Linked DNA regions of Arabidopsis thaliana. The protein of the gene in region 1 interacts with the protein of each later gene in a biochemical or structural test. Each region holds a gene or a part of one and is shown in the gene's direction. Other genes may lie near its edges.

Region 1 (7,750 bases):
ATAGAATAATGTTTACTAAATCATTACGAGACTTACCAATCGATCGACTTAGTATAACACACATATATACTTATATATTTTTATATCAACGGTCTAATTTAATACTTACTCAATAATTTATAGCTACAATCAGTCGATCCAAAATTTAGATTAAATTCTTGTAGTATGCATACGGATAGTTATAGAAAAAAAAATAAACAATGAAAAGTTAAAACAATTTCTCCGTTACTACTTTTCATTCTTGTGGGAATGATATTTTAATGGAGAACGATCTTTTATTTTTACTATTTAAGTATTTTATTTATTGTGAATGACATAAAATAGGAATCTACTAAAAAAAATTGCTTTTGTGAGGATGAAGCTTCTCTCTTTTGATTAGAAGGAAGAAGCGTCTGTGTGTAGTCTATCATCGGCCTCTCCTTCCTTTCCTTACTTCCTAAGTATTATGACCTTTTTGTGTAGTGGGGTTTGAGAAATTATCTCCCAAGAAAATACACAACTGTCTCTTTTTCTATTATAAAATTTAGATTTTATTACAATTATTATATCAAGAAAAAATATTACTACCAGATAGTTGTACAAAACACTATATCACCATTTTACGTTGAATTTTGACATGTTAACTAAAAGATTGGATAATCAAATCATGTCTTTAATTTTGGTTTATTTTAATCACAGGATACTAAACACACAAAGTTTACAAATTCATAACCTTCAAATTAAAAACAACTTATGAGAATTGAATAATATGTTTTGGCGATATTATATTATTACACAGGTTCTCAGCAGTCAGCACAACAACTTAAAATTTTCTTTATCAAAAACAGTTTATGAGACATTATACTTAGTATAAATCACGGTATACATATTATAAAACTACCAACACAGAAACGAATAATAAGAAAGAAACCTTTGGCAGTGGGACAATTTTGGTAACGAGAGGATCCATTGGTCGATCAGTAAAAGAATATTGTCAGAGTGGGAATATAAGATATGATCGTCATTCATTTGTTTTTAATATACAATCACGTGTGTTAATAAATAGAACTTGTATTAATTACCAACATTATTTATGAAATATTCTTTTCTTTTTCGACAAACTCCAATCATGTGTAGGGAAGATATTGCCATATTTGGAGACGTTAGTGTATATGCAGAATAATTATCATTCATAAATTGTATTGCATATAATTAAAACGTTCGTTACCCAATATCAGATGGATTTAAATAAAATAGTTGTACACATAGGGCCATCATTTTTTCAGGGAATTAGCTGTATGAACGAGAATCAAAAGTGATAGTGTAATGATTTTCAAGCTAACAAGACGTAACATTTTGGTGGTCTGTGGACGAAATAATTTCTGAGCATAATGAAAACATTGGTCTAATACTGGCATTTTATTATTATTATTATTATTTTATTATTTGTTTAAAATACTGGCAATTCAATCTAACAAAAAAAAGGCAACTAATTTGGCGAGTGATTTCAGTTCGATAAATCATTGATTATTTTTCTTGCATGTTCCACATATATAAACTATAATATTATGGTATTTTATGTATGATCCTCGAAAATAAACTAACTAGTTGTTAAGCATGAGATTAGGATACAAGTGGATCCCATTGCATGTAGGCGTTCATACGGTGGAATATTAAACTTGATTATTTCTCTTAAATTTTTAAAACATAACAGAAATGTGGGCTTAATCATTAATTTAATGAGAAACAACTAAAAAAAGTTGCCACAAAAAGAACTTTTAGTATTTTAGTGTGTTAATTGAGCCGCTATACCGCATAAAATCTAAATTATATAACACAGATGAAGACTTATGTAAGAAAAAAAGTTGAATTATGTTAGGAAAAAGGTGTATTAATGAGAGGAACCTTTTCTCCACGATATTAAAGGTTGAATAATGTCTCAATGAGAAGAAGCTTTTCTTCACGAGAACTATATGATGTTTAAATTTCGCAAACTAGGCCATATTTTGCGAAAATGGTGAGTTATTAACCTAATATGATCAAACATTCCTAATTACACAAGGAAAAAAAAAAGAGAGTATATTCAAAAGATTGAGGAAATGGTTTTGCATTCTGGTACACCAAACCAAATAGAAAAGAAAGAAAACAAAAAAGGAAGGTAAATTTCCATGAAAATGAAAGCAATAAGTGAAGGAGAGAACATATTCTTTCTTTTTCCTTTGCGAGTTAGAGAGAAGAGTGGGGGGCTAAGCAAAAGAAAGAAGTGGGCGTGATTCTTACGCGCTGACTTAATGATCAGTCAATCTCTGGCCCATGGGCTTCTCGGTCATTTTCTCCGACATTATTACCTCAAAAGTTAGCCCATTGTGGACCCGCTTACTTTCCCCCTGCTTTTTACCGTGTTATGTGGGCTCCACATAAAGCCCAGTGGTCACTCCCTTTTTCCTTTCCTTTGTTTTTTGTCGCAAGCAGCGGGGATTAGTGTCCGTTAAACATCATCGACTCAAATTGTTTCATGCAATTTTCCCCTTTTTTATTGGTTATCAATCGAATAAACCTCTCTAGCTTTTGTAACTAGTTTGAGATTATTATGTGATATATGCACGGTACTAAATAAATACATAATATTGTATTTTGTGTGGTACTAACAACTAGGTTTAGTGAGAATAAAAACGACGTTGTAGAGTTTGTTTAGTAAGAATATTTTTGTCCAACACAAACTACTTTTAAAAAAAAATTCCAAACGTTGATATACCTATTGCCTATTGGAATAATCAACGCAGATTCATAGTTTTTTATTTATCTCCATACTTGGGTCAAAAACGTATGAGATTTAATGATCGAAAACAATATCCACAAATATGAAATATTTTAACGCTGATCTCAAACTCAGGTACAACATAGTTACATATAGCCGTGCTGCTATGTTTGAGAAAGATTATTTTTGATCACTTAAATTGTCATATGTAATAAAAAAAAACTTTCAGTTAAATGTTTTTGTAAAATACTGTTTAAAATTTTAGGATGAAAAAGACTGAAAAAAAACCACTCAGACAAAAAAAAGAGAGAAATCATTAACCTTTTTAAAACATCCTTTTTCTCTTTTATTTTCAACTTTCACATTCTTGATGATCAACATAGTGGAGCTTGGATCTCTTTTCAATCAAATGATTTATTTTTATTTTTAAAGCAGAGGAACTTTATTTGTATTTTATCCCTTTAAAGAGCTGTAGAAGTTTCCTTTTCATTAGCTACAGAAGTTGCTAGTTGTGCATAGTATATAGTTTTGGAGATATATTATGAGAAATTAATACAAAATAAAAACTGATTTAAAATCTTTCAGTTGAATTTCATGTGAAATAGTATGTTATTAATAAAAAACGGAATCATATACAAATCATTGTCAATCAGATTGTTTCGTGTATAAATATTATTCTGTAAAACCAAACAAACCCGGATCAGACACGGTTACCAAAGTTGAAATCTCTTTATTTGCACGCACTCACTCAAAGATAAAAAGCTTACCACTCTCACCTTTCAAAAGCCCCGCCACCTTCTTCTTCTCCCACACACAAAGAAAAAAGACAGAAAGAAAAAAACTTTTTTTCTTTTCGTTAAAGGCTCCACCTTTCTTTCTTCTTAACACACAACACATGAAAATCCCTGCATCATCTCCTCAAGACACGACCAACAACAACAACAACACTAATAGTACTGATAGTAATCACTTATCAATGGACGAACATGTCATGCGTTCAATGGATTGGGATTCCATCATGAAAGAATTGGAGCTTGATGACGATTCTGCTCCTAACTCACTTAAAACCGGTTTCACCACAACCACAACAGATTCTACTATTTTGCCTCTTTACGCCGTCGATTCAAATCTCCCTGGCTTTCCCGATCAGATTCAACCGTCGGATTTCGAATCGTCTTCCGATGTTTATCCTGGTCAGAACCAAACAACTGGGTACGGTTTTAATTCTCTTGATAGTGTCGACAATGGAGGATTTGATTTCATTGAAGATCTCATCCGAGTCGTGGATTGTGTTGAATCGGACGAGTTACAACTCGCTCAGGTGGTTTTATCACGGCTTAATCAACGCTTGAGATCTCCGGCGGGTAGACCGTTACAGAGAGCTGCGTTTTACTTTAAGGAAGCTCTCGGTTCGTTTTTAACCGGATCAAACCGGAATCCAATCCGGTTATCTTCTTGGTCCGAGATTGTTCAGAGGATCCGAGCGATTAAGGAATATTCCGGGATTTCTCCGATCCCTCTCTTCTCTCATTTCACGGCGAATCAAGCGATACTCGATTCGTTGAGCTCGCAGTCGTCTTCTCCGTTTGTTCACGTGGTGGATTTTGAGATTGGATTCGGTGGCCAATACGCATCGCTTATGAGAGAAATCACTGAGAAATCTGTAAGCGGTGGATTTTTAAGAGTTACGGCAGTGGTGGCGGAGGAGTGCGCCGTAGAGACGCGACTAGTGAAAGAAAACCTAACTCAATTCGCGGCGGAGATGAAAATTCGTTTCCAGATTGAGTTTGTGCTGATGAAGACTTTTGAGATGTTATCTTTCAAAGCGATTAGGTTTGTTGAGGGGGAGAGGACCGTCGTTTTGATTTCCCCGGCGATATTTCGTCGTCTAAGTGGAATCACTGATTTTGTTAACAATTTACGGAGAGTATCACCTAAGGTCGTTGTATTCGTGGATAGTGAAGGATGGACGGAGATCGCCGGATCTGGATCATTCCGGCGAGAGTTTGTTAGCGCTCTTGAGTTCTACACGATGGTGCTGGAGTCGCTCGACGCTGCAGCTCCTCCCGGAGATTTGGTGAAGAAGATAGTGGAAGCGTTCGTTCTACGACCGAAGATCTCCGCTGCGGTAGAAACGGCGGCTGACAGGAGACACACCGGCGAAATGACTTGGCGGGAAGCGTTTTGCGCCGCCGGGATGAGGCCGATACAGCTAAGCCAGTTCGCCGACTTTCAAGCTGAGTGTTTATTGGAGAAAGCGCAAGTTAGAGGATTCCACGTGGCGAAACGACAAGGAGAATTGGTGCTGTGCTGGCATGGAAGAGCACTTGTTGCCACATCAGCTTGGCGGTTTTAGATAAACCGGGTTTGGTTTAACAATATGATATAGAATAGAATAATTGTATTTACCGCCTTTAATATCTCTTTTCTTTTTGCTGTTTATCTTTCAAATAAAGAAATAAAAATATTTCTTACGAAGAGTCTCTGTATGAGCTAGAGTCTTTTAATGATTCATAATCTCCTCTATTCAAAACACAAGTGACCTTTTTTTTGCGAGTGTGCGAGTTCGTCGTCAATTTGGTAAAACCGTCGTACGAATCGCCGATGAGCGGGTTTGCTTCACAGATTCCATCCATGGCGCTTCTTGGATCTGGACTCACCGGCGAGGTAATCTTCCTTTAGTTTGATTGATGTTTCCGATTGTACGGCTTTTGTTCCGATCCGTGATTTGGGGATTCGTGATAAAGTTTATGATTAAATATGTATATTTAGGATTCCTTCATCTTCTGCCTTGTTGGAATTCAGATTTCTTCTGTACTGGATTGTTTTTTTGTTTGGATTACTCTTTGACAAAAGCCGATTAGAGAAAGAGGTGTTTCAATTCCTGATCATGTGGATATTCTCAACTTTTGGATTGAGAGAAACAATTGTTTTTCTCAATGGAATTTTCAGGTTGGGTTGCGTGTATTGTTCTCTCCACTTAGTTCCAATATCGTACTTCGTACAGCATGGTGAGTTTTTTTTATTGTAAGGTGAAGAAAGCCATATAGTTGCTAGAATCAATGGTACAGGTAGACGAATGAATTGGAGGAATGATTTGATTGGTGAGATTGTGATCTGATTGAGTGATTCTCATTACATGTGAAGCAATGGGGTAGGGAGGGAGTTTTTTTTTTTTTTTTTTTTTTTGTTGACATAGTTATTAACTTAGCCGAGTGGACAAGGGTTCTATTCTACTTGTTGTGATACTTTAGGGTATCTTTTGGACAAGGGTCAATCTATTGTTGGGGAATCTGGATTCTTTTTGTTTTATCCGAGTTTTTGGTTATTTTCTCTATTAGAAGGTGTTATAGCTGTAGTTGACTAAAGGATTCGGTTATAAAGGACACGTTTGTGTGGTATGTCTGAAACTTGTTTCCTGCAGCTGCTCCATTGGCATCGGTTTGCCTGTGTACTCTACCTTCAAGGCAATTGAGAGTGGAGATGAGAATGAACAACAAAAGATGCTTATTTACTGGGCAGGTGGGATATTGTTACTGCAATTGTTATGACCTTTCTAATTGCTTTCCTTATTCTTTGACTGTTTATCTTCAATAGTTTTTTTTCAATCTCCCTTGGCCTTCTTTCACATGGAATTTGATGGGGTTTTTTCTCTATCTTCACCTTCTTTGCAGCTTATGGTTCTTTCAGCCTTGTTGAAGTGTTCACGGACAAGATCATTTCCTGGTATGATTGACATCTTGAAACTATATACAATATCTTGATGGTTTTGCTGTTATGTTAGACAAATAAGATATTTCTTCTAATGGACTTTATCGAGAGAAATGGCTTGATTATCTCGATAAACTCGCAAAGTATTGATACTCAATAACCTCGATTATTTGCAGGTTCCCGCTGTACTATCATGTGAAGTTTGCGTTCCTCGTCTGGCTTCAACTCCCAACTGTTGAGGTACCTATCGGAATCTCTTTAAACCATCATCTAACGAGTAGGCAGCTTTAACCCGTGGTACTCATCAGTTCTGATATTCTCTATATTCTTATTTGCCGACAACAGGGATCAAAACAGATATACAACAACCAGATCCGTCCTTTCCTCTTACGACACCAAGCTAGAGTGGACCAACTTGTGGATGGTGTATATGGGGAAATGGTACACGATTGCTTTCTTTTGAACTCCCTTATTCTTCAGTCACTTTTAACTAACGCTTTAAAACAAAACAAAAAACTGCAGGTGAAGGTCGTTAGGTCACACCAAGGAGAAATACGGTTTGTCCGAGCAATGATTGCCAAAATCTTGGGATCAGGTTTGTTTCGGAACTCTAATTTTCTATCTTTAGTGTAATACTTTGCTATCAGGGTATTGAACTGACTATTTTATTTGTACTTGCTGTGTTGTTCCAACAGTCAACGAGGATGCACCACGACTAGGAGAAATAGCAAATGGTAGCCCCGTTTCAGAAACAAACTCGGATTCAGAATCCGATTCCAATCACGAAGACTAATAAAACAAAGTGTAATCGTAGCTTTTGCAGCTTCTACAGTCTTGTAGGTCAAATCTCTATTACACAAAAATGTCAAACGATTGTATAGTTACGTAATCTCAAATGACTTTGGACTCAGTTTTTTTTATCCGGTGTTGAAAAATCCCAATAATCCGTTGTAAAGTTCCAATTTTCCTAAGTGTTAATTTGTTCCTTCACCATCTTTCGACCCAGCAGCATTCTGTTCTAGATTAGCTACAGCCTCTGCTCCAAGTACTCTCTGCAACTCATCCTGCATTATTCCATGACTCTAGTGTAAATGCAAGCCGATAGAAATAAGATAAAAGTTGGAAAGAGTATGATTTTCGCAGAAATTTTTCCGGATAAAGAGTTTGTCACCTGGATTGAGTTGTTCTCAGACTTGAGCTTATCACATTCGCTTGAGAGTCTCTGTAGCTCATCTCTCAGGCTTTGATTCTCGTTCGACAAACTCTCTACTCTTTGTTGAAGTTGTTCGCATTCGGCCTATT
Region 2 (7,462 bases), on another chromosome or scaffold:
AATTTACATTGGAAACATAAAATTTCTATTTTTATAGGACAAATTTTTTTTAATGGAAAATTCATCTTTGTGTGACGGAGGGAATATATGTGTAAACTCTAGAAAATCAATTTTCTAGGAATAGAAGGAGTACTACTTATTATGAGACCTAAGGAATATATGATATGTCCCACTTTTAGTTGTTTGGAGTCTCATTTTGTATGTTTTAATCATTTTATCATTTGGTTCATTTGGTTTTGGGAGCGGATTAAAACGTAGAAACTACGGTTTCACAAACAACTTATTTAATTTTAAGTAAAGAGAAAATAACTCCTTTTCTTGAAATCTTGATAAAAAAAACAATCAATTGCAATGGTTTATGTTCCTTGAATAAGAAGTTAGAGTTTGTTCAAAAACAAACAAAACCTAAGGCAAACCTTTGTTCGGTTCTCGATCAGTCGATTTATATGAATGGATTTCTATTCAACATATGTTCTCTTTTCTTATTTTTCGGCCTTGAATCTCTTATTTTTCTATTTTTTCGGGTCCTCAAGATTATCCACCTAGATGTGTCTCACTCTTTTCATTTCCCTATTGCAGGTCAACGACGTTTTATTTAAGCTTTTTCCCATAGACCGATTACCCATTTATCAGAATTACTTGGATTAATGGAATTATTCTCGATTTAAGTCGAATTTTTCGAAGGGTGCTACATATCTCATCAACAAACAATACAAATCAAAGGAAGGAAGAAGAGCTAAAGAGCTAAAAAAAAGATGAGGAGGAGATCGAAGTAAACAAATTGGAAGAAAAAGAGATCCAACAATGATTGGTTGTGAACATGTTATGCTAGTTTATTTCAAATTTTGAAACCCTAAACCTCAAACCATCAGTAATCTGTCATTACCGACATAGTATTACATATGGATCGAAAAATAAACATGTTAAATATGTGTCCTAAAAAAATACATATGAACAGTGGTAGAGGCAAGTGTAGTGGAGGAGGGTCACTGCATATGAATATCGACGATATAGTATGGGCCATAGATAATTGAAGAAATAACCATCTGATCACAGCTTGACACACGAATCAGGTTATCCATCGTGTGATGACATTTTTCAAAAAATATGAATGGTATTACCAGTTTCTTGTTATGCTTTGGGTTCAGTAAAGTTCCACTCATTTTCCAGTATCTGATGAATGATAGAGCAGTCTTTTTAGAACTTTGAGCTTTCATATTCCTTCCGTCCAACAAAGATGAATTTTCTATGGAAAAAAATTGTCCCACAAAGATACAAATTTTGTATTTTTAATATAAATTTTAAAATTGTTTACCTGTTTTATCCTAAGTAAATAAGTAGATAAATATTTTTTATTATTTTTAAAATATATTAAAAGGTTAAAATTGTCAGTATACATTATTTTTTAAAAATGTGAAATTTCTATAAAAAAATCCATCTTCATAGGATAAAGATGTTATTAATTTTAGCTATTAGTCATGATCAACCTACACTGGTACTTCTATATTTCCTCCATGATATCAATTTTTATGTTTTAACCAGTGATATGAACTGTGACTTTCCACCTTCATAACTTTGATATCCATATATATTAGTGTAAGTTTCGTACTGTACATATACTTGCATCATAACTGGATTAGCCGAGACTAAATAATTTTGACTATTCTTCACAGTTCATACTCAAGGTCTCTGTTCTTTGTAATTCTAGACTACATATCAAATAAAAAGATGATGATATATTAGTCAAAACTCAAAAGTAATTAGAAGAAAAAACTTTGTAATTCCGGAATATCATACGTTACTACTTTTCATTAGTAAAATACCCAAATTACTTGGGAAATTGAGGTTCTGCAGTTCCCGATGTACAAGAGAATAACAATACAATACACTGATCTAAAGTGAATGGGACGCTTGACATTGCCAAACCAAACCATGCTTTTGTATCAATATCTAATAAACATATAAGCTTAAATTTATAATGATGTATTATTATCAAAATAAACAATGATAATATAACATTAAGATATTTCTAGCCTTTTCTTTTCCGCATAAAAGTCTGTCCTGGCTCATTATAAACTACCACTAATTTAGGCAAAATCCGTATCTTAACAAAAGTAATAAAAGCAATTTCGAGTATTGGGATTGGAAGATACCTTTTCCCCTTATTCATTCTTCTTCTCATTCTTCTTTTCTCTAAATAAAGTAGTTGAGACTTGAGAGCCACCGAAAAGCATTCGACATCCTATCATTAAAGCTAACTTTTTTCAGTGTTTTATTTCTAAAATAATTTCTTAAAATAAAGAAAGGTGAGAGAGAAATTATGTCCCTATACAACTAGTAGAATGAAAGATTGTCAAGCTTTGGTTTGGGATTTTTCTAATAAATCACATGCATTTGTTAGAATTTGATCCCAAAAAAAAAAAATTCAAACCTTTTTCCTGTAAAAGCAAACCTATTGGCTCGTAGGTCAATGTCAATCTCAATGAATAGTAAAGTCTTTTGATATCACGTATCTATAACATATTATTTTTAGCGTGGTTCATGTCCCTCAACATTCTGCCTAAATTATAGGATCTCAAGACATAGTACTATAGACTACAACTACAAGTAGAGGAAAATTTTATAAGAGAGATAAATTATGCGGTATTCACGCATGACATGCGTAAGCATGAAACTAAAATTTGGTTGATACATTACTATGCCGAATTTAAAGTAGTGCTCCATGCAGACATGAACATATCAGATATCACACGTACGCATGTATTACGTGTATGTAGAGACACACGTACGCATATCTATATTCACACAATGAGATTTCACTTTCTCAAACAAAGATCACTGTCTTCAATTAGTTTCAAATTTGTTCTTTACCTATTGCTTTTACATTTCTGAGTGTATATATTTACAATAAGGACAAGGAGATTTTAAATGATAAAAGTCAACCATATCCCATCATTTGGTCTTTGGTTTCCCGACGTCCCACTTTTGTAAAAATCATCTGTTCATTTTCCATTCTTTTTCTTTTTCCTACCCAACTGGATATCACCAATGATATCATTATACACTAACACTATCATTTCACACTTATCTTCCTCTATATATACATAGCTTAAGTCTTGTAACGAGAAAGGCATGCATAGCATTTGCTAGTTTTAACATATAGCAATGAAGGTTCATGAGTTTTCGAATGGGTTTTCTTCATCGTGGGATCAACATGACTCGACATCATCCCTTAGCCTAAGCTGCAAACGCCTCCGTCCTCTCGCCCCTAAGCTCTCCGGCAGCCCTCCCTCCCCTCCTTCTTCTTCCTCCGGCGTCACTTCAGCCACTTTTGACCTTAAAAACTTCATTAGACCCGATCAAACCGGTCCGACAAAATTTGAACACAAACGAGACCCTCCTCATCAAGTCAGTTCCATTATTGTACTTCGTACATTTTACATCGTTTCTTTCGTTTGAAAAAAGAAGAAGAATTCACTCTAGAAGAATTTTGATAATTGCGGCATACCTAATACTTTGACATTTATAAATTATAACGACTGGAGTGGTTCCTTTTATTATTAATTTTATTTATTTATTTTAATGTATGATTCCTAACAAATGTAATGAAATAATGTGTGGGTTCAGTTGGAGACGCACCCGGGAGGGACAAGGTGGAACCCGACTCAAGAACAGATAGGGATACTTGAGATGTTGTACAAAGGTGGAATGCGTACTCCTAATGCTCAACAGATTGAGCATATCACATTGCAACTCGGTAAGTACGGGAAAATCGAAGGGAAAAATGTGTTCTATTGGTTCCAGAACCACAAAGCCCGCGAGAGACAGAAGCAGAAGAGGAACAACCTCATCAGCCTAAGTTGCCAAAGCAGCTTCACGACCACTGGTGTCTTTAATCCGAGTGTAACTATGAAGACAAGAACATCATCGTCACTAGACATTATGGTAGGAATTTAAGGATTTTGTATAGTTTTGTGGTTTTGATCAACTATATTTAAGGATAATTTTTATGATTGTGTAGAGAGAACCAATGGTGGAGAAGGAGGAGTTAGTGGAAGAGAATGAGTACAAGAGGACATGTAGGAGCTGGGGATTTGAGAACTTGGAGATAGAGAACAGGAGAAACAAAAATAGTAGTACTATGGCAACTACTTTTAATAAAATCATTGACAATGTAACCCTCGAGCTTTTTCCTCTCCATCCTGAAGGGAGATGAAGTCATGAAGGTGAGGCAGAAAATTGTGGAATTCTTATGTAGATCTGGTTTAGGTTCAGAGGAATCAATTGGTATCTAGAAATTCAAAATAAAAATAAAAATAGGAATAAGTCTCTAAAACTACAAAATCTACTTAAGAATTCCCTTATTAATCTGCGAGTTTGATGTATCCTATGTAGATTATTTTTGCGATGTAATCTTAATTATGAATGCTCAGTTTAGCTCATCTTTTTTTCGCGTTTATTCTTGACAAATTCACTAGTGATCAGTTGTACTCTCTTCTGATTTGGCCATCTAAGTATTTCTCTAGATCGTTGGTATGTAGGAATGTTTCATTTAGAGAAATTTCTGAATAAAGACACATTTGATGTTGTTAAAATAATATCTCTGTCTTAATTCCTACGTACGTACAAGAGCAAGAAGTTAAAAGGAAATAATAATAGCATTTCCCGTTGAAAAGGGGGTAGACCTAGTATATTTCTATATAAACAAACATTGAAATCTAAAACTTTTTGTACTGTTATATACTTATATTAAAACTCTTAGTAAAACAGGTGACTCAATAATATTTATATTAATTTTTTATTTTTGATAAATATATACTAAATAAGTTTATGAGATGATAACAAGAAGAATCTTTTCAAGAATTTGATATTTCCAATGGAATGTGTACAAAGACATCAATATATGTAAGCTGTGGTGTGTATGTGGTTAGTTGTTTGTCTGATGCTTTATTGACTCTCGCAAGTGGTTGTTTTGTATTTTGGTTGAAACAAAGAGAGAGTTTTGCTTTTTAGGTTAAAAGTTGAAATGGCATTATATGAGACACACTCACTGAAGTCCATGCACTCGCTTTCCCGCTACATTGCATGCTAGCTAGCTGTTTCTATACATACGCAGATATATGTAGCTCTTCTATATTTTCGCACTTAATTATTGTAAGTGACATTCTTCTTTTCATTTTGGTTATATGCCGATAATTTTGTTTTATTTTCTGATAGCTAACTTCTACTTGGTTGTTAATTATATACCAATTTTCCTTCTTTTTTTCTTTTAAATGTTGATGCAACGTAAAACAAAACTGTATATTTCTACAGTGATTTTAAATAAACGCTAAACTTAAAATAATCTTTTTTGGTAAAGGGTTTAAGATAAATTATAACTTTGTTGGACATCAATTAAACATATATAGAAGTACTCTAAGTTTCTTTATGTTTAGATTATGATTTCTAATTGAAACAAACACATTTCCAGCTAAGTTTATCTTTAATAACCAAACTACCTAATATTTTAAGTCTATCTTTACCGGTAATCATATTCTCAAATGATTATTTGCCATGCATTATGAATTGGTTGCCCGTGGGCGTGGGGCATGGCGTTCCATTACTTATAATCTTGGAGGGAAGCAAGATTGAAATTTAGAAATAAAGAACTTTATTCAATTGGTAATGGGACCATGACTATTTTTTCAATAATTCAATGTTTCTTGGTTTTCACGTGTACATATATATAAGTCCAAAATAATTTCAAACACATAGTATTCAAATAGTATTAGGCCTATCGAAACCGGTTTTGGCCAGGCCGGTCAGCTTGCTACATGTATGGGTTAGCAAACAACGGGCTTCGTGGGCTCTACGACGGCAATGTGTTGGAATTGTATCCTTGATTGAATCTGAAAAAGAAGAAGAAGAATCCATGAGAAGAAGAAGATGAAGAACAGAGGAAGAAGAAGATGATGTCGTGAAGAGAAGAGTCAAAGGAAGAGAAGAAAGTCAACAAACATATGGGCTTTGTGTTTTGTAATATGGTTGTAATGGGCTGAAGATGAATTAGGCCCAAGTATGTTTAGTTAAAGAGTGTTGTGTTGTAAGTCTAAGTTAGAGTAGAAGAGTGAATCAAGGAGTGAGAGTTCCAATGTATGTAGAAGTAGGTCTTGTGTAAGAGCCATCATTAGGTCTAAGTGCAAGTGTGCAAGTGTGTGTGTGTCTCAAGTAGAAGTAGTTTATGTATGTGTGTCCTTGTGTTGTGTAAGAGTAACCAAGTAATTAACAATGTAGTCTTTGGAGGAAAACGCTTTTGTGTCTCTCTAGAACAAAGAATAAAATCTGTGTGAGAGACAAGAGAGCAAGAGATCTAACTAAAGTGGTTAGATATGTGAGAATTACAACACAATGTCATATATGTATACATCAGAATATTAAACCTACAAAACAAAAGTAGCTCTGGAAATCTCAATAATGTAGTCTCTTAGAAGGATCCACAAAGGCCACAGAGAAGAAAACATAATGCTTAATAACAAAGATGAACAATGTGGATTTTGCCAGAATATTTATGGCTGTGAGCTTGTTTCTTCAAGAAGTCTCTACCTTTTAACTTCTCAAAAATCAAGTTTCTTAAACAAGTCTTCAATGCTGAGGATGTCACAGAAGAAGTCTTCAACAAACCTGTAGCCATGTTTTGATCACAGAAGAATCAGTACTTATATGTTTCTAATTGATACAAGATTCTTCTCCAGCAAAACCCTGATTTCTTCTTCCAAATCTCACTTGTTCTTCTTTCAGAATCTTCCATACGAATCTTTGATTCTGTTGTAATTCTCACAATCTCTCTATTTCTCACACTCCTTTACGGTTTCATTGTCTTTAGAGAGAAAGAACAAAAACTATTTTCTTTTAATCTTCTACTTTGATAATATTCTTGGATACTCTTACACAACACAAACAACACATACATATAGTGGTTTTGCTCCACTTGGTAGACTACACACACTTAGACTCTAGACCACATCATTGTCCTAAGACTTACATCATCCACTCTACTATGTTGGAACTCCAACACCTTAATTCACTCTCTTAGTTTACTTTAGTTGTCACAACCTCTTCTTGTTGGACCTTAACTAGACAACTTGTACAAAACACTTATTCGTATGGGCCTTATCTCATTACCTATGACCCAACACACAAAACACAAACCCATTTGGTTTGTTGACTTTCTTCTCTTCCTTTGACTCCTCTCTTCACGACGTCTCTTCTCCGCCATCGTCTTCTTCTTCCGTTGCTTCTTCCTTTGTTCTTCATCTTCTTCTTCTCACCAAGCTTGTTATTCTTGTAGGATTTAGTTTAGGATACTCAATTCCAACAGATTCTCGTAATCTCCATATCTAGATCCTCTTCCGAATCCGTAATCACCAATTCACCATTATCAACCAAAAGCTTGAGTTTTTGTTGTGTATCGGACATTGATTCA

Evidence for each region.
Region 2: the proteins of HAM4 (region 1) and WOX4 form a complex in vitro, tested with the Arabidopsis thaliana proteins (one study listed by BioGRID).

What each region holds. Positions count from the first base shown.
Region 1 is NC_003075.7:17,302,428-17,310,177, forward strand, and holds HAM4 (GRAS family transcription factor), read left to right. Parts: upstream 1-3,330; 5' UTR 3,331-3,632; coding exon 3,633-5,093; 3' UTR 5,094-5,221; downstream 5,222-7,750. Other genes in the region: HVA22K (HVA22-like protein K), read left to right, coding at 5,342-5,404, 5,690-5,748, 6,162-6,259, 6,412-6,463, 6,625-6,688, 6,794-6,889, 6,971-7,043, 7,144-7,241; GBF1 (G-box binding factor 1), read right to left, coding at 7,423-7,512, 7,620-7,745.
Region 2 is NC_003070.9:17,233,657-17,241,118, reverse strand, and holds WOX4 (WUSCHEL related homeobox 4), read left to right. Parts: upstream 1-2,933; 5' UTR 2,934-3,165; coding exon 3,166-3,408; intron 3,409-3,627; coding exon 3,628-3,945; coding exon of another isoform or gene 3,946-3,957; exon of another isoform or gene 3,958-4,021; coding exon 4,022-4,216; 3' UTR 4,217-4,595; downstream 4,596-7,462. UniProt on the Arabidopsis thaliana protein: Promotes differentiation and/or maintenance of the vascular procambium, the initial cells of the developing vasculature.